Linked DNA regions of Arabidopsis thaliana. The protein of the gene in region 2 interacts with the protein of the main gene of each other region in a pairwise test. Each region holds a gene or a part of one and is shown on either strand. Other genes may lie near its edges.

Evidence for each region. The genes of interacting proteins can lie anywhere in the genome.
Region 1: the proteins of AT2G32840 (region 2) and ASIL1 interact in a two-hybrid assay, tested with the Arabidopsis thaliana proteins (one large-scale study listed by BioGRID).
Region 3: the proteins of AT2G32840 (region 2) and AT3G56270 interact in a two-hybrid assay, tested with the Arabidopsis thaliana proteins (one large-scale study listed by BioGRID).

The regions. Positions count from the first base shown.
Region 1 is NC_003070.9:20,176,899-20,184,644, reverse strand, and holds ASIL1 (6B-interacting protein 1-like 1), read right to left. Parts: upstream 4,036-7,746; 5' UTR 3,674-4,035; coding exon 2,522-3,673; 3' UTR 2,271-2,521; downstream 1-2,270. Other genes in the region: UBP1A (oligouridylate-binding protein 1A), read left to right, coding at 1-51, 148-324, 456-722; AT1G54070 (Dormancy/auxin associated family protein), read right to left, coding at 1,403-1,430, 1,534-1,627, 1,713-1,962; AT1G54050 (HSP20-like chaperones superfamily protein), read left to right, coding at 4,523-4,726, 4,824-5,087. UniProt on the Arabidopsis thaliana protein: Transcription repressor that binds specific DNA sequence such as the GT-box-like motif 5'-CGTGATT-3' in the AT2S3 promoter. Negative regulator of seed maturation genes during seed germination and seedling development.
Region 2 is NC_003071.7:13,930,979-13,939,391, reverse strand, and holds AT2G32840 (proline-rich family protein), read left to right. Parts: upstream 1-4,442; 5' UTR 4,443-4,555; coding exon 4,556-5,110; intron 5,111-5,353; coding exon 5,354-5,406; intron 5,407-5,496; coding exon 5,497-5,536; intron 5,537-5,633; coding exon 5,634-5,711; intron 5,712-5,814; coding exon 5,815-5,928; coding exon of another isoform or gene 5,929-5,964; exon of another isoform or gene 5,965-6,021; coding exon 6,022-6,101; intron 6,102-6,197; coding exon 6,198-6,291; 3' UTR 6,292-6,553; downstream 6,554-8,413. Other genes in the region: AT2G32850 (Protein kinase superfamily protein), read left to right, coding at 1,415-1,881, 1,972-2,137, 2,223-2,273, 2,363-2,545, 2,625-2,718, 2,797-3,461, 3,558-3,944; RALFL16 (RALF-like 16), read left to right, coding at 7,939-8,226.
Region 3 is NC_003074.8:20,866,129-20,874,377, reverse strand, and holds AT3G56270 (WEB family protein (DUF827)), read right to left. Parts: upstream 4,379-8,249; 5' UTR 4,159-4,378; coding exon 3,958-4,158; intron 3,664-3,957; coding exon 2,524-3,663; 3' UTR 2,271-2,523; downstream 1-2,270. Other genes in the region: AT3G56260 (uncharacterized protein), read left to right, coding at 5,586-6,179; AT3G56250 (uncharacterized protein), read right to left, coding at 6,222-6,296, 6,562-6,681, 7,097-7,157, 7,437-7,578, 7,937-8,249.

The DNA of each region.
Region 1 (7,746 bases), on a different chromosome or scaffold from region 2:
GAAAACAATCCTCAATTTACAACTGTCTATGTAGGAAATCTCTCTCCAGAAGTAAGTTGTCAACTTAACGAATTGTTCTTTATAAACACTGCAACAGCTCCTGGGGTTTTTCTTTTTGGCGCCTCGTGACAGTTGTCAATCTTGCAGGTAACTCAGCTTGATCTACACCGTCTATTCTATACCCTTGGTGCTGGAGTGATCGAAGAGGTCCGTGTCCAGCGAGACAAAGGGTTTGGTTTTGTGAGATATAACACTCATGACGAGGCTGCTCTTGCTATTCAGATGGGCAACGCTCAGCCTTTCCTCTTTAGCAGACAGATAAGGGTATTTGCTTCAGTTAATGTTACATAGATCTATCTGTTGTTGCATCTACGTAGACAACCAAAGTCTGCTTGTAATTGGTTTTTACCAGTATTCCCCTAAACCCATTTCCTTGTTTCTGTGATTTATTGCAGTGTTCCTGGGGAAACAAACCAACTCCATCAGGCACAGCCTCAAACCCACTTCCCCCACCAGCCCCGGCATCAGTCCCTTCTCTGTCTGCAATGGACCTCTTAGCCTACGAGAGGCAACTGGCTCTAGCCAAGATGCATCCTCAGGCTCAACATTCTCTGAGGCAAGCAGGTCTTGGAGTCAATGTTGCTGGAGGAACTGCAGCTATGTATGATGGTGGCTATCAGAATGTAGCTGCGGCCCATCAGCAGCTCATGTACTATCAGTAATAAACCCTCTTCACTGGCTCTGAGATACCTTTTTCTGTTTCTTTCTTTTTCTTCTTCTTAATTTTATAACTTTCTTGCTTTTTCTAGACCTTCCTTGTTCAAGAGTCTTTATGTATGTGTCTCTTTCATTTAAAGCCGTTGGTTTTATTTATGTATGCAGAGCTTTATGCTCAGTTTGTAACCTATAGGTCTTACTTGGATTGTAAGCCAAGCAATAAGACAACATCAAATAAAAGGGGATTTGGTTTTCTGGGGTTAATGTTGTTTGTGGTTCTGTAATGATAGGTTTGAAACAAAGTAATTTGTCTTTTATAAAAGTTTTATAGTTTCATTTCTCATGTTAGTACTTTATTTTGTCGGAAATCCAGTTTAACTAAGCATCAAGTGTTCTGTCCACGAGTGTCCTTTGCCATGCAGCAAAGTATATAATTAAGGTTTTTTTATTTGCCTTTGTCGTTCATAGGATGTAGTAGAGAATCTTGATATAGGCTTCAACATTTAAACGATTAGAGGAAATTGGCAGGGTTCAAATAATATTTTCAAGACCCTGTAATAGGGTACATTGATTCAAGAGACATTACATTTAATACTGACCTTATCAGTAAATATTTACATAATTACATGCATAGGTTATTTATATTTACACAAAAACCCCGTAAGATTTTTCTCTCTCGGCTTGTTCAACGGTCCAACGCGTTTATCACAATCCTGCATACGTACACAAAGCATATCATAAGTACACACATAAAGAGTTTGCCCACAACAACAAAAAAGAGAATTGATTAGGAAATGAAGTGATAGAGATGATAACCATTCATAAGTAGTTAGACTTGCTGCATCGTCTTCGCCAGAGGAAGGGATTTTGCCGGCAGTGAATGGTCCCAAAGCATAGCATGGTGTCCCAGCTGCATAAAAATGTGTTTGACCCAAATGTGAGTCTTAATTTTGTTATTGTTAATTTAGTTTAAAGGGAAGATGAGAAATATATACGGGTTAAAGGTGTCCCAGGGTTGCTGCTTGAACAGGTTGGAGAATCCGGATCCATTTTCAATTTACGGAGACCACGAACATTGTTATTCCCCTTGGTAACCATGATGCTTCTGGTGACTTGGTCGCTTGAGAGAGAAGGAGGAGAAGATCGGACGGTGGATAATGAATCGTGCTTTCTCAATTTCCCGAGACCATTGTCCGGCGTCGGTCCGGCCACCGTTTCATCCCACAGCTTGTGTAGGAACCCCATCCGATCAACAAAAATTTATCCAAAAATATATAACAATATTTTTTCAAATTATTTCGGGTTTTTATTTTACTGTCTCTATCTTCTTTTTTTTTCCTTTGCAATGGAAATGGTTTTATAGAGGTAGTAGAGAGGTAAGGATGAAAGAGAAGAGAGAAGCATTGAATATTTTTAGTGAGGTTAATTATAAGCTTTGGCTTAATTAAGGAGATTTTAATTTAAGGATAAATATGCTGACTAATCCAATCATTAGTCTCTAATCTCATTGGTGAATATTCTATAAGCTGTGTCTTAACTTAGAATCACAAACTACTAGTTCAGAACTCTACTTAAGAATCACAGAGGTTTTCAACAAGCTATTCAAGTTCAAAGCTTTTTAATTTGCCCATGTTTAAGACAAGAAGATGGATAACAATAACAACAACATGATGATAATCAGAGTCATAACTTCTCTACATTTACACATCCCACAAGGCAGTAACAATAACAACAACAACAACATCAAAACCTAAAATCCAGCTTATCATAGCAAATATCATAGGAACATTTGTGTGTTCAATTGTCAGCTACTTACATTGCCGTTATTCTTGCCATTGCGATCATCATCATCATCAACGATCCTCCTTTCTCCTCGCTGCCTGCTCCTCTCTTCCTCTTCTTGATTGTTCTGTGTTATCTCCAATTGAGTTTTCAAGAACTGCATTCTCTGCAACTCCATCTCTTTAGCAAATTTCATCCTCTCCTTTTCCAGTTCCGCCATTAACTTAAGCTTAGCAGTTTCCGCCTTCTCATAAGCTTCCGTAAATCCAAGTATCGCCCTCGCCACATCTCCAACTCCACTCCCTCCACCTCCACTCTTATCCACCTTCAACCGCTTTGGCATATGAAACGAAAGCGGTTGAATCGGTTGCAAAGGTGGGAGACTCTCAGCAGATTCCTCAGGAGAAGCCTCAGGTTCAGGATCAGACTCAGACTCAGTCTCAGAAGCACTACGTTTCCTAAAATGCCACCGCATCGAATCAGAGCCTCTCTTCTCTTGTTGTTGCTGCACAATCTGATTACCTTTAGTTTGCCGTTTAAACATACTCGAACGGCTATTCCCAAGAGCTCCTCCCATAGGAGCCTTCTCTGAAGCTTTTGAAGAAGCAATGAATGTTGTAGTACCACCAATCAAACTCTCAAGCTTCTTGAAGAAAACCCATTTACTAGGTCCATCACCAGAAGCAATCTTAGCTTTCTCTTGCTTATACTTCTTCTTCACCGTATCAATTCTGTTCTTACACTGAATATCAGTTTTAGGGTATTTGCATTGACGACTCTTGTTCACAATCTCAGCTACTTCTTTCCAATGTTGTTGCTTCAAAGTTCCTTTACCTGGTTCAGAGAATCGATCTCCCCAAGCTTCGATTAGAACCTTTGTAGCTTCTTCGCTCCAACAATCATCTCTTCCTCCTCCACCACCACCGCTTCCTCCTCCTCCTCCTCGTCCGTTTCTGTTTCCGCTACCACCACCACCGGTTACAGAAGGAGTATGAACCACTAACGCTAAAGCGTTCATGGACGGAGATTGAGAAGAAAGCCCCGGTTGTGGTTTCTTCACGACGGCCACCGTCACGTCGTTTGTTGGCAAAATCGGCGGAGAAGGAGGAGCTTGTGGTGAAAGGGAAGAATCTCCCGGAGATGGAATTGACTGAATCTCGTCGTCGTCCTCCATGAAAAATCGATCGATTCGGAGAAGGTAAGACGATCTGAGGATTTTGCAAAATTTTGGATCTGAGATTCGCTCACCGGCGAGGGGATAAGGTCACCGGATAGGTAATCTCCGTTATTGACCCGATGGATATGTTAAATGACGAAAACACCCTTCACTCTTTCCTTTAATAACAAAAGAACAATATTAGAAATTTAGAACCGTGACAGTATTCGAATGGTTTTATGGTAAATACTCAAATATCGCTATAAGGTATTTATGCTTTGGCCATTTTTTCGTTAGGAATATTGAATATACACACTGACGGATTTCAAAATTTCTCTAATATACAAAAGTATTTTTATTTTCTTGTCTATAGTATGGTTAGGTAGGTTGTCTCAAGTCTCAAAAACTCTAACTAAAATAAAACGAGATAAATCAAGTCTAATGGGCTAAGGCCTGGAATAACTTTCAAGGCCCAATAAAAACAGATATAAGAAATAAAAATACAAAATAGAACAAAGACATAAATCAAGTCCAATGTGCTAAACGGCCTATAAATAACTTATAAGGCCCAATAAAAGGAGATTTAATGACGTGGAAGCTTTTGAAACAACTCTCAAGTTCACTAGTTACTTCTAGAAATTTTCTCTGGAACTTTCTAGCTCACTGGTGTTTACTCACTATATATCAATGGAGTGAAAATTTCAAACCCCATACTATCAAATCGAAGAAGAGGAAGATCCAATTGGAAAGGGTTATCCTAATTCCCAGGTAATGATCCTATTCTCTGTATCGATCTTTTCCTGGAAAATTTCAGAATTGTTGATTTTTTTAACTGTTTTGTTTTCTGGCAGTCATTGATCGGAGAAGATGAGTGCTGTTGCGATTAACCACTTTTTTGGCTTACCGGAGGCGATCGAGAAGCTAATTCTCCCGATTTCTCGTTCCGGCGAAAGTAATAACGAGAGTCGTGGAAGAGGAAGTAGCAATAATATCCCAATAGACATTTTGGAATCTCCCAAAGAATACATATTTTATCTCGATATCCCCGGAATTTCAAAATCAGATATCCAGGTATTGATATAATCCCATAGAAATGTTGAATTGTTTATGAAATTAGGGTTTTTTTTTTAATTTAATTTATGATTTGGGGGTTTTGGTGGGAAATTAGGTTACAGTGGAGGAAGAGAGGACTTTAGTGATAAAGAGTAATGGGAAGAGGAAGAGAGATGATGATGAGAGTGAAGAAGGGTCTAAGTATATTAGACTCGAGAGGAGACTTGCTCAGAATTTGGTTAAGAAGTTCCGGTTACCAGAAGATGCTGATATGGCTTCTGTAACGGCTAAATATCAAGAAGGTGTTTTGACAGTTGTTATCAAGAAGCTACCGCCACAGCCGCCGAAACCTAAGACTGTTCAAATCGCTGTTTCTTGAGTAGTTTCTGTGTTTTGTTTTTGTGTGTGTTTGTTTTCTAGTTTGTAATTTTTCTGTGTTTGGATAAAAAGACTCTGTTTCTTTTATGTGTTCTCTTGTCGAAATTTTGAAATTGAAGAAATAAATAGGTTTAGCCTCCAAAACCAAAAACAAATAAAAACGTTGTCGACATTACCACCATAAGATACTCCTAAGGCACTGGGCTCTACAAAATTTTTGTGGATTCTACAAGATTAATGTTATAGGAAAAATTCTAAAAAAAATTCAAACTATTTTTTATTTAGAAGTTTAATACCCAAATGTTTTTAGTCAGAAAAAATACATATACAAATTAAAACATACAAGAATTAATATCTAAAATTTTATATGTTGTTATTTTTATACATGATTTTATGAATAATTAAAAATTTCAATTTTATCTTTAACTTTTTAATTAATTATTTATTTTAATTTAAAAAAATTATTTTGGTTCTCTTTTAACCGGATTAAACCAAATCAAAACTGGTTATTACCACCACCAAATTTTGTTCTTGTCATGTTAACCCGATGAGCTTTCCCAATCCAACAACCAACACGCCAATTGTCAATCTGGGCTTTATAAACTTTCTAGAGCTTCCCTCTTCACCAACACCATGTTAACCGACTCTTACCTTTGCAAATTCTTCTCTACGAACAAGAAGCTGGTTAACACATCGACGAACAAAACTCGGTGGTGGTGATAACCAGTTTTGATTTCGGTTTAATTCGGTAAAAAGAGAACCAAAATATTTTTTAAAAATAAAATAAATAATTAATTAAAGAGATAAGAGTAAAGTTGGAAAATTTTGATTTATTATAAACTCGTGTATATAAAAATAACAACACATAAATTTTTGGGTATTAATTCACATCTTTTAGTTAATATATAAAATTTTCTTCAAACTAAAAATATTTGGGTATTAAATTTCCAAATAAAAAATAGTTGATTTTTTTTTTTGAATTTTCATGTTATATGATTACTTTACAAACTTTCTACGATGGTTAATTATTATATTCGTTTTTTAGTCTTCTTCTGTTTAGATGAAATTCGGTTTTTGGTTTTCTTGGGTATGGATTGAAGCCATGATATTTATGAAGAAAAATGAAATAGTGAGGAATTAACGTGAAAATGAGCAAGATATATGTGTAGTACAGTGGCATGAGTTGTTCCAGAACCGTAATGATATTAAGTATTAATTTATAGAGGTCTCACTCTATTAGTATATAAATAACTTTCATATATGATTACATGTTTAATTAAATGGGTAGAAACCAGATAATATATTTTGTTTTTGAGTTTGAATAAAAAGTTTGCGAATGCGTTGTTGCTCTCTGTTGTCGAGATTCTGATGAATACATAAAATAACCATCAACAATTTTTTTTTGTATTATTGTTTTTTAAGCAAAATATTGTAAAATGCTTCTGATATATTAGAAGGACCACGTAATTAATATTCACATTATTACATTTAATATAGTATCTACTCTGTACCATACATTTTTAGTTGTCTAGCGATTGATTTCCTTCACCAGGACCACTTACACCTTTAGCTAAAGTCACAGCTGATAATTGATTTCATCAGGGCCTGCACAACTTCAAGTCCGCAACAACCGCGTGGCCAATAGTTGGGATACATCTTGTTTCCGATATGATCATATATGCATAATGTTTGCACAAAAAAAAAATCAAGATATATTTTTATAGCAAATTTCTTTTTTTTTTTCTTTTTTTTTTCAGCAAAAGCTCAAATTCCTAATTGTTTGATCAAACTTAGTGTTCCTTCTGTTTTTAGAAACATAATGTTTTGGATTTTACACAAATTAATAAAAAATAATTTTTTATTTTTTATTACTCCTTGTATCATAAAAAATGATTTTCAGAGGTTTTCATTTTGTATGAAAAAGATTGATTTTCTGTAAAATTTATCAATCAATGTTAATAAATTGTGAAATTTTAAAATCATTAATTGAGAAATTAAAATTTTGATGAATCACTATTGGTTAATAGTTATGACTTATGAGAAATGGTTTAGTATGAATGCATAGTACATTTATAACTAAACATTAAATGTTTTTCTTAATTGATGCAAAAACTCTATAAAATCAATATTTTTGATACAGATAGAATATTATTTTGTTAGTTTAATAATATTAGTTCCATTTTTCTTTTCTCTATTGGTCACAAATAATGTTATTACAAATCATCGATATCATGGAACAAGAGAAAACCATAACATCAAACTATTAAGAACATAAGGAATATGTAATTTATAAATTTCTAGTAGTTCATGGAGATAAGATTTCTAGTGTTTTTCTCCAATTAGCAGGTTTCATTTGCATAGCTGCACTTACTGGGATGCAAATCCCACAGCAATAAATATGTCAAAGACGTACTCTTAAATACTACATGTTTATATCGTGGTCGTTGCGTTATGTCATAGGCGACATCATGTGGGTTCTAGGGCTAGCTATTTATGCCGACAGCTGTCAACGTGAGAGAAAAAGAAGCGGTGGCCTACGGCATCTGATTTTAGAAAAAGATTAGGGGCATATATTTTAGTAATAATATATAGTTTATCCTTACCAAAGTTATATAAATATGGGCAAGTAATATAACTTACCATGTTGAAGTTTACATATA
Region 2 (8,413 bases):
CGTTCGTCTCCTGTATCTTGTCTAGGGTTTATTTTGTTTTGGTTTTGGTGAAGTGGTGTTGTAGATCTGTGAAAGTTTCGACACCGGTCCCTTTGGTGATGATCAATAATGTGCTCAAGCCATCGATAATCTAAAGTTACAATAAGTTCAAGCTTTTTTTTTGGAAGAAAAACCTTGTGTTATAGCTTTGAGTAAACCGGTAAATGTCCCTCAAGTCTCCTTCCGAGAACCGAATTCTCTAATCATTTTTCAGTGCTTTTTATTAAGTTCAAGAACCCACATGTCGCGATTTGATTGTAGCCAATTCTGATAAGAACATGCATTCTAGAATTAGAGCAAATCAACAAGTGTAAAATTGTAAAATCATCTCTATATTTGCAACAGAAATTACCTAAATGTATCTCATAACGTTTAAAATACAAACTTTATGATAAAATGTACAAATGCGTCAACAAATGTGAAATAATCAAATAAAAATAGGTATTGGGAGGGTCACGGTCCACGTTCAGGTTCACGTCTTAATTTTACGGCTTATTATACAAAACCATAACCAAAATGTTCTTATCTCACTTTCCTTTCTATTCCCGGATTTGCCGCTTTCTTCTTCTTCATCATCTCTCTCTCAAAATCACCCCTTTTAAAGTTGTTTCCTTTATACGCAAAAGTGAACGCAGATCTTAATGCAGCTACTGTGATTTCGATTCTTAGGGTAAATATATTCTTTTACTCATTGGATTGGCACTCCTCAGCATCTGGGTTTTTGCAAAGGTATAATTTTTATTGTCTCTTTCGATTGGATTTGATTGATCTGCCGATTCTCTGTTTCTCCCGAGCTTTGTGGGTTAAGATCTCGATTATCTATCTGGGAATCTTTAGATTTTGTGTTCATCGGAGCTGTTAATCGTTGGACTCGCTAGTGTTCTTCTCTTGTAAAAACTTTGTGGAGGAGAATCTGATTGTAGGTATAGTGTGAAGTGAGTTTGAGCTGAATTCTGTAGCTTTACATGGAAGTTTTTGGTTGATGATAACGTCTTGTACTTTGATACCATATCTGACCATAGTCGCCAGATTCTTAATCGGATCTAGTTCGAGTTATAAGACTCTTCAATAGTCTCTCCTTAGGTTCTTATGTTTTTATTGTGTGTTGATCTGGTTTCTCTGATCAAGGATTCAGCTTTTAGCTCCCTTTATTGGTCATATAAGAATAGATCTGTTTGATTGGTTTCTTAACTGAGCAATTGTGTAGCAGATTAGGTGCTTATCATTATCTTTGTTTTTGTTCTGTGTATTTGAATATCTCATTAGGATCTTGGCATCTCCTATTGATCATGATATCTTGTTCTCCGAAGTTTGTTTGGTTTTGTAACAGATTTTATGTTTATGCAGCATTCTTATTACTTCCACTGATTCAAACATGTGGAAGTTTAAACCTTTTGCTCAAAAAGAACCTGCGGGTCTCGAAGGTCGATTTCTCGAGATAGGAAATCTGAAAGTTCAAGTTAGAAATGTCATTGCGGAAGGAGGTTTCTCCAGTGTTTACTTAGCTCAAGATGTAAATCACGCGTCAAAGCAATATGCTTTGAAGCACATGATATGCAATGACGAGGAGTCACTTGAACTCGTAATGAAAGAGATCTCGGTTCTGAAATCCCTCAAGGGACATCCAAATGTTGTCACGCTCTACGCACATGGTATCTTGGATATGGGGAGGAATAAAAAAGAAGCTCTTTTGGCTATGGATTTTTGTGGTAAATCTCTTGTGGATGTGCTTGAGAATAGAGGTGCTGGTTACTTTGAAGAGAAACAAGCTCTTACGATTTTTAGAGATGTGTGTAATGCTGTCTTTGCAATGCATTGTCAATCCCCACGCATTGCTCACAGGTATACATGTTGTATTATTAGATTTCGTTTCGTTTTTACATTAGCAAGCGATGTGAATTGATACTGTATTGGTGTTGCTAATCGTGACAGAGACTTGAAGGCTGAGAATCTTCTATTGAGCTCAGATGGACAATGGAAATTGTGTGATTTTGGAAGCGTTTCGACAAATCACAAGATTTTTGAAAGAGCAGAAGAGATGGGAATTGAAGAAGATAATATTAGAAAATACACAACACCAACATATAGAGCTCCTGAGGTTTGACTGGATATGCACCTATGCAGATTATAAGAGTTTTAAAAGTGGTGAAAAAATGTTTGATTTATGTCTTTATTGGCAATAGATGTGGGATCTCTTTCGAAGGGAGATGATAAGCGAGAAGGTCGATATATGGGTATGTGATGACACTTTTTCAATCTCTCCAGATTGCTAATCTATTTGGTTGAAACTTGAAAGTAAAGGTTTGTTTTTAAAAAAAAATAGGCTCTTGGATGTCTCTTGTTTCGGATATGCTATTTCAAGAATGCATTTGATGGAGAATCAAAGCTGCAAATCTTAAACGGGAATTATCGTATTCCAGAATCGCCTAAATACAGTGTATTTATTACGGATCTCATCAAAGAAATGCTCCAAGCTTCACCCGATGAACGACCAGATATTACACAGGTTAAAAGTCAATTTTTACTCATTGTTTCTTCTCAGTTGAGGAAATGTAAAATGTCTCTAACAACATGTCCATCTACAGATTTGGTTTCGTGTCAATGAGCAGCTTCCTGCTAATTTACAGAAATCATTACCGGATCGACCACCTGAAATGCAATCTACTGGAGTCCATGATGGTATAGTGAATAAAACCTATTTTGGATAGCTTCTCAAAGAAAGATGTGATTTCTTTTGATCCTTATGAATTTTGACAGGCTCATCAAAATCAGCAACTAAACCTTCTCCAGCACCTCGTAGAAGTCCGCCACCGCCGCCACCATCTTCTGGAGAATCAGATAGTGGAGGACCGCTCGGTGCCTTTTGGGCGACTCAGCATGCTAAAACCTCAGTTGTATCAGAAGATAACAAAAACATGCCTAAATTTGATGAACCAAACAGTAACACATCTAAATCTGAAAGAGTTCGTGTGGATAGTCATCAACCCAAAAAACCAAGTCCTGTGAGAGGAGAGGCTCGTGGTATTCAAAGAAATAAAGATCTTGAAACTACGATTTCTCAGAAGAATACAACTCCTGCTGCAGCCAATAACATGACAAGAGTGTCCAAGGATGATGCCTTCAACTCGTTTGTTGCTGACTTTGATACCACAAAGTTCGATAATGGTAATAAACCTGGCAAAGAAGAGGCATTGGAAGCTGAGATACAGAGGTTAAAAGACGAGTTGAAGCAAACAAAATCAGAGAAGGCAGAAATAACTGCTAAGTTTGAAAAGCTTTCTGCTATCTGCAGATCGCAAAGGCAAGAGTTGCAGGATCTCAAACAAACACTTGCCTCTAAAAGTGCCTCACCGTCACCGAGCAGAGACTCTTCACAAAATCAACCCTCTCCAGGGATGCATTCCATGTCATCAACTCCATCGGTATTATTCTTGGTTCTTGTTCATCTAAGCTTAGACACCCATACAAAAGTCTTCATCAATGTATATCTTAGAATTCTAATGTTCTTGATGAAACAGAGAGATAAGATGGAAGGAACAATGTGGGAACTTCAACAGGACAGATCTAACTGGTCAACTGGCAGCTCTGATACAAATTCATGGCAACCTTTTAGTGATGAAGCGAAACCCGTGATGGAATCTGCATCAAAGGGTAACAATAATACGATTAATCAGTCTGTGAGAACCAGAAGTAAACCAGCTTCTGCTGCAGGTACTCAAGGTTTTGAGCCATGGGGTTTCGAGACAGAATCCTTTAGAGCCGCTGCAACGTCTGCAGCTGCTACTTCTGCATCTGGAACACAAAGATCTATGGGCTCTGGAAACAGCACTTCACAGAGATATGGGAACTCAAAGATGAGAGAAAACCAGAAAACAGCTCAACCTGCTGGATGGGCCGGCTTCTAAAACTCACTCAGATGCGCATTGCTATTTCTTCCTCATGCAACAACAACAGCTTCATGTTGCTGCCATTACAGAATCTTGAATCTTTTTGTAGATGATGATCATCCCCTGTTTTTGTGCTGCTGCTAAATATACCCCACCCATATCCATTATGTTTTATGTAGAGTCTTAAACTTTACACATTCTCTGAGCTGTGGCCAGATATCTCAGCTTATGGATTATTATTGGAAAAATAAATAATTCAAGATTCAGACAGCTTACACTTCTTTCTGTGAAACTTAGAACTAAGGTCACATTTAATACCGAACCCAACCATACGATGGCTGCATTATGGTTTAAATGTTACCCAAAAAGATTTCAGCCGTAACTAAATCAGCATTTTAAAATCCTGGATTAATTTTCGTTAATGTAAATCTCACATTGAACCGGACCCGAGTAGAAAAAAGTAAAAAACCGAACCAAAACATTAAATACCGAGCCCTAGTTTAGTTAGTTAGAAGGAACTTAAAAAGAGTTCGTGTCCTGAAAATCAAAGAAAAAGCTACCAAATTTTGAATCGTTGTCTTTAACTTGATTTTCCCCAAATTTCTCAGAAATCAAAATCCGCCGGAACAATGTCTACTCCCGATCCCAATCCCAATCCAAATCCAAATCCTTCCGTCTCTGTAGCAGTATCGACTCCAATCGTCACCGCATCTGAATCTCCGGTGACACAACCTAACACAGTCATAACGCCGTCGTCTCAACCTCAACCTCAAACACCAGCTTCGTCGTACAGAGCCATAGCTCCGCTTCATCGTCATCATCCTCATCAAAATATCTACACTAACCCTTTACCGATTAGGCGTTCGAATTCCGTTACTAATTCGCCTCATCAGCCTCCTCACCCAGACCCGTCTAGTCTGATATACCCGTTTGGTTCTTCGGGTCGAGGGTTTCCGACCCGACCCGTTAGACAGAATTCCAATTCCGTCGCTGATCCAGTTGGTAGTCCTAGTCCAGGTGGGTATACTCCTCGAGGGCCAGTTTACGGATACCACCATGGCCAATTCGTGTCGAATTTGGATCCAATGAATCAGTTCATGAGAGCTGCACATCCTCAGAATCAACAATCTCCTCAACTTGGTTCCGGTCATATGAAAGGAGTTCCTCATTTTTTGCAACCTCGGGTTAGTTATCGTTTTCGTTACCAAAACAAGTTTGAATCTTTTTGTTTAATTCCATAGTTTTGTCAAGTGTTTTTTTTGTAGCTTGTGCTAGTTAGTGAAAATGTGTATGTTGAAGTGAAGATTATTTGCTTTGGTGATTGTAGAATTCGAATAGCAATCTCTAATGAATTAGGAAAGGTTGAAACTTCTGTTAGATATTTGTGTGAGGTTACATTTTGTAAATTTTGGATTTTTGATTGTTAGGCTACTCCTTCTCCAACTTCAATTCTAGACAACAGTGGGCATAAGAAGGCCAGGTACTTTATCTTCTTTGCCATTATGCTTTGTTAATTAGAAACTACTCTAGAAACTTAATAATGTCTCTGTTTCGTTTCCATGGTGTTTAGGAGCCGGGATGATGCTCTGGTCCTCGTTAGAAAAAGAAAGGTATAGTTTTATCCTTGTTTTTTGGTTTTGCATTATCGTTCGAAACCGCTTGCTTCGCCATTTGAGGAATTTTAAATACTTTTTATTTGTTCTGCAGGTTAGAATAACCGAGGGAGCTTCTTTATACTCGCTGTGTCGATCTTGGTTGAGAAATGGTGCTCATGAGGGAATTAAGGTTCGTATCCATTTCTTATTTCTGCTTTGTAGTATAATGCAACACTTGGATTTTTGTATATCTATTCTTGATATCTTTGGAAGATTAATGACGTTGTTTACAGCCGCAGCGAATTGATATGATGACATGTTTGCCAAAGCCTTTACCTGTGGACAAGACGGAGACAAGTTTGCCAAAAGATTTAGTTGAAGAAGCAATTTGCGAAGAAGACAAAGAGGTTTCGTGTTTCTCTGATTTCTTTCTAAAATGGTAATTGTGAAGGGTAAAGCTAAGTTTGATTATTTACTTCAACTCTCTTGATGAGCTTCAGGACGAGGAATCTGTGAAACATTTGTCAGAATCTGATCTTTTGAAAAGACATATAGACCGAGCTAAGAAGGTCCGCGCTCGGTGAGTCCCACAACATATCATCAAAGCTAAGTTCGATGGTTGAAGATTGAATATTTTTTGTTTTGAACAAAATTGTGTGGTTTGTTTTGTTTGCAGATTGAGAGAAGAACGGTTAAAGAGAATCGCGAGGTACAAGGCAAGATTGGCTCTTCTTCTGCCACCCTTTGGAGAGCAATGCAGGAACGAGTAATGATTTTAAAGTTAGGGACTTCGGTGTGAATATACTTGCAGTTGATTTAGAAATGACATAAATTATCTTAGAGCCAGAGTTATGTCTTATGTCTGTGTGTAATATAAGAAAGATTTTCTCTGAATTTTCGTCATACACTCGTATTAGATGATTCTAAACTAATCAACAATCTCAAGATTTTCTGAGATGGTTAACTTATATAGCTCTTATCTTTTTTTTTTTTCAAGAACACCTAGTAGTTCTTGGACAAGTAAAATTTTCAATATAGTATTCGGTCATGGTGGGTCGACCATGTTTTGAACGCTGGATCGATCATCATGTGGTCGGACGATCATAATTTCAGAGATTGATCGACCATCCTTGGAAGCACGAACACATTTAGTCATGTGTTTGAATTTTCTTTTATCTTATTTGTTTCCAACTCCCAAATGATACGAAATGTCACAAAAACTCTTAAAATCACTACATAATCTAAGACTTCCTAAGACACAAATACTCCTATGGACATTAAAACAAGATTTTATCAACAGTGAAGCCATATTATCATCACTGTAGTTCTGAAAATGCCATATTGCCCAAAGTCTTTTCTAGCTAGTATGCCATAGTGGCTAACATCTTCTTCTTTCTTTTCATCTCTCTAAATAAGCAAAAAATTGAGAGGCTTTCTCTTCCTCTTCTATTCCTCTCCAACATAGTATTCATTCTCTCCTCATCTCATCTCTTGTTTCTTTTCAGCCGGAGCTTGTGCCGATGGTTCTACGTCGATCTCACTCTCTCAACGACGAAGAAAACATCCCCCAAAGCCTCCTTCTATGTCCAAATGTAAAGCTTCTCCGCAGCACACAACCTTCCACCGCTGTACCACCACCGTTCCTACTTTTCTGACATGGAACTGAAGCTTTATCAAGTTTTATGTTAAGTAATGTTAATCGGAAGTCCTTTAGGCAAGATGTCTAGCTAAATGTTATAGAAATTCTAGGGTGACAATTTTTGTTTTCAGGCAGACAATGGTAACTAGTAACTGGACAAATTAATTTGAAGTATACAAATTATTATGGACAATATTTTTCTAATATTTGTAGACAATTTTTATTACATATAAGATCAATTACTCAAATTTTGTTTTAAAATATATTTTTTCGAACGAAATATGATTTTAGGATGAAACAAGAGGCCATATAGTACGACGAACATGACCCATCCACAAGCTTAATTTGTTCTTGTTTTCCAACTCACTCTTTTCTAATTTGAAGATTAATGCTTACTGACCTTTAAGATTAAGATGTTGTAGTTTTGTTTTTCAAGTTTTCACCGTTTAAAATACACAAATACCAAAAGTCTTTAGTTACACTTTGTTATGTAACAAAAAACATTGCTGGCATAGTGGCATATTGACAAACCTTCCAAAATTTGATTTATCTGTTTGAAATATCACAGTTAAAAAAACAAACCCAAAAAAAAGAGATGTTTATGACAAATGAACTCCATGAATATGTATTATTCCCTGGCATATGTAACAACATAACTTTATTAACCAACTCTTGTCTCATTATAAATTTCTGAAACAATGTATACAATAATTACTCACTAATTCTTGTAGCAAATTAAACCCAAAAATAGTTAAGAAGAAAATTAACAAAAAAAAATATGGTTGCATACGAGAAGAGTCCTATTGTTTTTCTATTTGCTACAATGATGCTTGTAATGTTTTTGTTTTGTGGAAGTGGAGAAGCAAGAACATTAGGGTACGGATCTATTAAAGGAGACCGAATTCCGGCATGTGGCTATAAAAACCCCAATTCATGTGTCAAACAACCAGTTAACCATTACCATAGAGGTTGTGAAAAAATTACCAGGTGTGCTCGTGATGCTGCTCGTTATACTGAATCCTTCAATGTCGATGACGATGAAAGTCCCATTATTAATCTCCATTGAAATTTAATCTTTAATTTACTTTCGTTGATACTACAAAGATTCATGTATTTATACGTCGTGTAGCTTGAATATATTCATATACCTAATTATCAGTCTATTAAAATGTGAAAGATTATATTTTATTAATTTGTGTTTTTATGTAAAGTCACTAATTGTTGTCTTAAATTTTTATGTATTCTATGCTTTT
Region 3 (8,249 bases), on a different chromosome or scaffold from region 2:
TTAACATTTTTTCCAAGAGTGGAGTAGTCAGTCCAATCTTGAGGGGTTATGTAAAGGAAAAATGTTATTATATAAATGTAAAAGTCTTAAGTGTAATTGTAGATAGAAAAATCCTAATCTCTGATGTATAAATATGTTCTCTCAAAAGTAATATAATTATTGTTCAATACTAATTCCATATGGCACACTCTTCAGCCTGCTCTCGAGTCTGTACTCTTAACATAAATTAACTTGGTTTTAGTCCATCATTCCAAATTAAGAAACGGTGAACGGTTTGTATATTCGATAGCTACTTGGAATCGTTTTTTTTCTTCTCTTTTTTGTTTGTTAATTTGTTTTGCTAAGAATGTAAAATTCATTGAAAATGAAAATGTTTAGGGTTTAAGATATTGTCTGTCTTAGCCTGTATAAGCGGTCCCATGGCACAAAAGATTAATAATATGTAATTTCAGAATTTGTTTTTGCTTCCATATTTTTATACTTGTGATAGGGGTCGCTACATCAAGAGAACGAAACGCAAGATCATCTATTTCTCTAGCACTTTTAGTAACTCAATCTGAAGGTTCTTCACCAATCTCGCTGGTCTCGATCCTCCTTCAAGCCTCCACATTCTGCTTCTATGGATCAAACATGCTCTCCAAACTCATAAATTGTTCTCATGGAAACGGCTAGCTAGATAGCCATAGGGTATCTATAGTGGCCATTCATTTTTAGCCACAAATGTTTTTTTGGCCATTGATAAATAATGTAGCTTTTTGCAGATTTCTAGTGAAATAGTTGCTAACCTACTTTACAATATAAAACATATCACATTCATACATAAAAGGAAACTACTAATTCCATCAAACCTTTCTCCATTACAAACACTTATAATAAATTAGGGGGGAAAATTGTGGAAAAGTATTAGTAACCGAAGCTTCATTTAATAATACATAGCCAGAAAAAATGACTTGCCTTTTGAGACACCTTTCGAAGTAATGTGGGAATTGGGATGAACGAAACATAGGTGGAGAATATTCTAACACATTGATAATGATTCTATATGCATGCTAAGTTAGCCCAAATATATATATTGATACAAGACTGGACTACCATCCCCACTTAGGTAAGGAGAGTCCACTTATCAAAACTTTATTCCGATTTAACTATAATCCGCATGTGAATTTATATGAATATTCCATCTTTGAACCGAAAATCCCATCCACGTCTAGAGAGATCTCGTTATCATCCCTTCTCCATATGGTTAAGCCTGAAACATGTCTGCACGTGTGCCCTCAATAATAAACTTCTTACATAAAATAGTTTCAATATATATACCTTTATAGAATCATATATCAAGAGTATCATGCCTAAAAGGTATCAAAGAATGAAATTAAGGATGGTTGAATACCGGTACCATGCTCAACATGACTAGATCCGTCGAGGCAAATGCGGTGGTCCGGTCGCCATGGGATGGACTCATCGACGGATCTTTCTAAAGATCGATAGCGGCTAACTTATTGACTATTGAACAAGGAGATTTTCCCTCTTTTTTTTTTGTTGGTCTGGATCTTTGTGTACTATGCATCCTTTCCGTTTTATAAGCAAAGCAGAGGGTATTATATTATATTTTACAACATGAAAAATGATCAAAAAGCTACAACATTTAATGTTTAGGAGAAACAAAATTAATAAATAAAGATAAAGACGTTGTCTTTGGATTATTGACACGAAACGAGCGCAAAGCAACCTAATTTAAAAAAGTGCAAACGTACCGTCAGATAGTTGACACTTGGAAAAGAGTAGCCCACGTGTTGGGAGTGGCACATTTTAGCCTGAGACAATGATTTTGCTAACCCACGCCACTCTTACTTTTCAACTTTATTTTTTAATTATTTATTTATTTAGTTCCTTTTCCTTCTTTTGGTTTCGTTTGGTCCCACGCTCTAAGCCAATACGAGGATTCCAGACGAAATCTTTGTTGTGAAGACTAAAACACGTGGCATTAAGTTATTGGAGATATCTAGATTGTCTTAAAAGCCTTGACCACGTCATCATTCTGTATCTGACCACTCCAAACTTATACAGTATAAAGTACAAACTGGTCAAATCGTAAAATGTGTTTTTATCTCCGTAGTTCAACCTGAATGTTTCAGTTTCTATTTTGAGAATCTAGAAACATTATAAAGACCAACGTTATTAAAAAATAAACAGTTGAGGACCTACGGTATTGATTATGGATCACCTAATTAGCTAATCTAACACTTAAAATGCATTAGTTAAGAAAGTGCCCACCACCTAAATCATATGATCAATGCCCTTCACTAACTCCCATAATTAATTATGATTACTAGAAGCTTTAGTTTTTACTATAATGTTTTTCTTTTTGTCACATTTGAGTCAAAACAACACATCTCACTCTAATCATCTGTGTTTTGCTTTTGATGGAAGCAACAACACCCATCAATGATCAAACCAAGAATAAAAAAAAACAGGAATCGAAATGTGCAAAACATGTTTTCAAAGGTTGGGTATTTTTTTAGCTTACTCTGTTTTTCTAATGGAAGCTTGATGTGTTTGTATGAACCTAAACTTTCTCCTCGGCGTGACCAACTGTTTCTCATCTTTTCGGTTAAGAGCATTACCCATTGAGACGTTACGTTTCAGCATTGGCTCAGGGAGATCGATCAGTGGCTCGTGCTGATTGATATGGCTCAAGAAAGAGCGCTGAGGAAAGCTTTCTCTTTTCATCGAGCGTTTTGCTCCAACAGCTTTCTGGTCTTTCCATGACTCTATGTTCCACTGCCGAAATGCCTCTTCTGCTTCAAGTTGCTTCACACTAGCGATTTCTACCCGGTTTAACGCAACTTCCAAGGCTTGTTTACTTTGTTTAACTTCTTCGTTAGCTTCCTCCAGCTTCCTCAAGATCTCTATTCTTGAGACATTGGTGGATAATTCTTTGTTCATCTGTGCTTTAAGTGTTAATGGAAAACATGGTGTCTTAGGGAAGCAGAGAGCGTCTTGGTTTCTTCTGCTGGATAATATGGTCATTTCAGCAAGCGCAAGTGCTTCCGCTGCTCTTGCTGCCTCTTCCATTTTTCTTGCAGCAACCAATCTCATATCTGCAGTTCTCGGGCAGGTTTTGCTCTGTTTATGGAAAGCTGTATCATAGGTTTCAACTACCATCTTAATCTGTTCACATTGTGGATTCACTGGTAAATTCTCGGTATTGAATCTCTCTACTTGATCAGGACCTGCTGGTTTAAACTTCAAACTGTTAAGTTCCTCCGCTAGAGACGCTACTCCAAGGACATCTTTCTCTTCCTTCGTTTTCATATTCAGAGATTCAGCATAAGAGTGGATCAACGCAAGATCATCCATGGTTTTACAAAGATTCATACCAGCTTGCTTCATTTCCATGGTCATCAGATCCGGAGACTTCAGGGGATTACGATGGCAGTGCTCATCGACCATCTCTTTGGAGTGTGAACGCAAATGTTGAGGGGTCTCCTTGCATCTCAGTGCTTGCTGCTGAAGCTGCCACTTCAAATCTTCAAAAATCCTTTTGGTTGATCCAAGAGCTTCAAGAAGATCCAGAGTCTCTAACTCTTTCATAATCAGATCCTTCTCAAGCTCCACTGTCTGTTCTTCCATTCTCTTTATGTCAAATTCTCCCACACAGTCCTGAAGAATGACAAACCAAAAAAACATAAAACAAATCATGCTATATAATACCAAAAAAAAATCTTACATAACATCTTGCTAGTTCCAGAATCAATTGCCGCAAATGCAAACATCAAATTAGCTATCACTTATTACAAAATATCTACTCAGTAACCAAATCGAATCAGCTATCAGTTATTCAGTTTGTTAGCATACTTAACAGTTAGAGAACATACATTTCAAACTTTCAGTGACATTAATGCTCAAACTTTAAATGAACAGACTTTGTAAATCGGAAACTAGAAGAGAACTCACGTAATTGTCTTCAAGATTGAAGGGAACCCAGAACCCACGACCACCATATAACTGTGGAGAAATGTCGATTTCAGCTCTCAAGCATCCTCTCCTTGTATTCTCCGGGTTGAAATTCTCGGACCCGGTTCCGGTTCTCACTTCCCGGATTACGGGTGTACCGGGAATCGTCTCCGCCGCAGGGCTCTGTTGCCTCTCCGCCATTTCCGTTAGCTCGAGAACGAATTGGTTTGTACAAGTGAAAGGGAAAGATAATGAAAGAGTGATCTATTTACAGTAATCATAGTTACTGATCAGAAGCAAACAAGATTGAGAGCTTCTCTATGATTGTGTTTTTCTCGGTAATGAAAGTCACTCACGAGAGAGACTCGAAGAACAAGAATGCAGGCTTTGATGATGCTACTACTAATGGCTGTGGCGACGTGGCTTCTATTGATTGGTTATCTGATTAATTAATAAATGAAAATTTTGGGCCGTTGATTAAGGAAGCGATATTGGGCCGTTGGTACGAAGTTCAAGTTCGTCTATATTGGGCTTTTTTGTGAAGGAAATTCTTACGTATGTGTTGTTTGTTTCTGTTCAAATACGAATATCCGAAAATTGTTATAATTTTCCCGTGCGATATTAGTGTATAGTAAATGTATGAGTGAAATAAATAGGTGGAGCTTTCCCTTATAGTTTTCTAACCAATTTGTGTGGCCATCACATTAAAGCAAAATCCGAGTAGGAGAAAACGGACCACGTACGAATACGATTGGAAACGACCATTAAATTATACGACCTCCCTCACTCAACCGTCCAAATTCATCACCGTCGTCTTTCGATCTCTCACGTTTCTATTTATTTCTCCGCATACGTTTCTTCCAACTAATTAGAACCGACAAATATATATATCTTTTCTAATTACTATTGTTGGGAGTTACCAGTTAGCACTTGACATTGGTACGTATTCAGATGGTTTGGTCTGACACTCTGAGTAGTTCCCTATTATATCCTATCTAAATTATCATTTCATTAAATGTAAACCATTATATCTTTTGGATGAACATGCCCCAAACTTTTGGTCAGTAGTTTCAAATTACGACAAACAAGGTTAGTAGTCTTGATATATATTAAAACGTGTGGATTTGTTGGTCAATAATTATTTCCTTAATTATAAGAACACCAAATAAAAAGGTTTATAGAGTGGAATCCCACAAAAGGTAACATATTAAATACTCTAAGCAATGCTTACTACAGTAACTGTTTACCAATAATGTGATCCTCACCTCACGACTCTCTTATTATTAATGAAAACGCATTAAGTAATGCATACAGTAAGATAGCCACCTTTCATTTATTATCTAACCAATTTTTTCCCCTATGTATGATCTTCCATATACTTGTAATATGCTCATCCATATGAATTTTTCCTAAAGAAAATAAAAAAGCAGAATAAATATCCACGATTATATACAACCGTGCAAAGAAGATTCTTTTGTTTCATCGGCAAACTTGTTTTACTCGCAATACATATTACTCTTTGTCACCTCTAAAGAAGCTTCGAAACTAGCACTTGTTGTTTCAATTTTCGTACATCAATTCTCATCAAAAGCCGACTCAAACATAAACCGAGAGTTTATAAAAAACAGATGTCAGAAAGACTAGAAGATGACTTTGCAATCGATGAAGAGAGATCCTCCTACTATGGCGGAGCCTCCATACCATTCATATGGGAGTCAAGGCCAGGAACACCCAAAAACCACCTCTGCTCCGATTCCTCTCTTCCTCTGCCTCTCACACCGCCGCCCTCATACTACTCCTCCGGGATTTTGTCGACACCAAGGACGCAAAGCAAGGTGAGATCAAAACTAAGTAAGTTTCTGTCCTTCTCCATGTTCAGTGATCTCAGGAGGAGCAATCACGGTAGCAAGAAGACGGCAAGCTCATCGTTTTCTTGGTCTTCTACGTCATCTTCATCTTCCTTTTCCTCCTCGCCACCACATTCTTTGAAAAAACGTATGAGTCACGACAAAAAATCGCCACTTCTGTACGCTAACTACGAAGAGGATGAGCTTAGGTCTTCACCAACCTCGACTCTGTGTTGCTCCAACGGGGGAAGACTTGGCTGTAGTTCTTCAATGGGGAGTGTGACAAGAGCTCTGTTCTCTGGGTCAATGGAGGGTATGAAGAGACATGAGACCACAGGTAAAGCTCTAATCATCAGCGACATGAATAAAGCTTGATTATGTGAATAAAGCTTGGTTTTTTCTATGAGCTGCTTCGCCTCATTGAACAGAGAGTGTTATAGTTATTGGTGTGTGAATGTAAGTATATAGTTTGTCTCTCAGTCGTGGCCTTACCTGTGTATTGTGGACAGGCTTTTTCGTCAATTCATGTCTAAGTAGAACCAAGAACGTTCTCCCACTGAAACGATGTTAAATATTATAAACCGATAGATATTTTGTATACACAGATTTGACGTGTCATGTGTACTAAGTGACCAGTGAAACATTTCCTGTGAGAATACTCCTTAGCTATACAGTGATTACGAACGGGTTATGGTGTCTCTATGATATCCTTAAGATTGTTATCTCTTCTTACTTAGTCTGAGTCGCTATTAGATACCTCTTCTACTGGCAGCTCAAATGCATCAATCTCTGCAAAGTAAGCTTTCTGCTTCTCGATATAATCCTGACAAGCTGCACTAACCGGATCCTCTTTCTCTTGCTTTACCGTCCGCTGTCTCTGTAATGTAACCACAAATGCAGAATTAGATTTGGAGCAAACTTATATGTTACCAATAGTCATAAGGCTCTATAACTGAACAATGGGAGTTCCAAATTGCATATCTCATTAAACAGTAATCCCACTGTATCTCGTGACAATATTCTAAATCCAACTTTTGAAAAAAAGAAGAATATACATGAAACTGAAGGACTAGGCAATTCACTTCAAACTATGTGTAGCACTGGTTTCAGACATGTGGCAGAAGAACGTTGTGAACAATCAATGTTGAAACATACAATGCACTGATATACACTTTGCTAGAGCCATAAAACCAATAGATCAAAGTATTGACTACTTTTTCGCAGAAAGATGATAACAACATAGAATTATTACAGTTCTGATAAGTAAACAGCCAGAGCTTTCCTGAATTCACCTTTTTTGGAGCCACTTTCAAGGTCTTCTTTTTGTTTTCACTAGCTTGACGTGTTTTCTTCCTGTGATACAAATTTCAAAGAAAATTAACTAACAACAACATGGTTGATTATAAACAGCCCACAAAATGCTAAACAAATTTGATGAAAGTTAACTGTAACACTAACAAAAGTTATCTCATCTACTATTTCTTACTGACAAGATTCTTTCAAAAGAACAGGCATCAATAAATTAGTCAGCATGAACTACATTCTATCCTGATTCCATATGTACATTAGCTACTATTAGCCATGCCAAATCAATTTTCCCATAGCAAATATATGATCGAATGGGTTTCATACCCAGAGCTTGATGACAAGTCGAGACGAATGCGAGCTGCTGCACTAGTAGAGGAAGATGCGTCTTTACTTCTTTTTTGTCCAGAGGCCTTCCTTCTTACCGTGTAAACAGACCAAGGCTCAGTAAAATCCTTGTCACTAACACCTAAGCATAAGACAATTATTTAACATCAGTATAAGATAGACACAGAAACCAATTTTGCAAAAATACCAATTGAAAATCAACAGAGACTGAGAACTAGCTTGATAGCAATTTTCAATCCACTCAATATTGGTGCCGTTTTGGAAATTTGAAGTGACCCAATTAGTGCTCTTCCACTATAACAGAAAACATGATAAATTCAAGCATCAATCTAAACCTTCTTCCAATAATTCCTAAAAATACCCAAAACCCGAAAACTAAAACCCTAGAGTTGCGAACAATTTCAATTCAGATGAAATTCCTTAAAATTTGATACAGTATAACAAAACTGGAACAAAATCATCGCAGCTAAATCAATTACCCATATCAGATCGCGATGTTTGGGGACGAGAAGGAGCTGAGGCCGGAGAAGCCAGATCAGCAGACATACGGCGAGTTACGGGTCTAACGTCCGTGGTAATAGGCCGAGAAGCGATTTCGGGAGCAGTCGCCGAAGTATTAACATCTTTGGGTTTCTCCTTGAGCGTAGTTTGTTCTACTAATCTCTTTAGTGAAGAAGTGAGACTCGGATTCGCGAATTTTACAGAAGAAGATGACTGTTGAGAAGATCTGGAGACGGTGTTAGTACAATCCGCGAGCGGTTTCCTCTGTATTCTTCCTCCGACGGAGCGAGG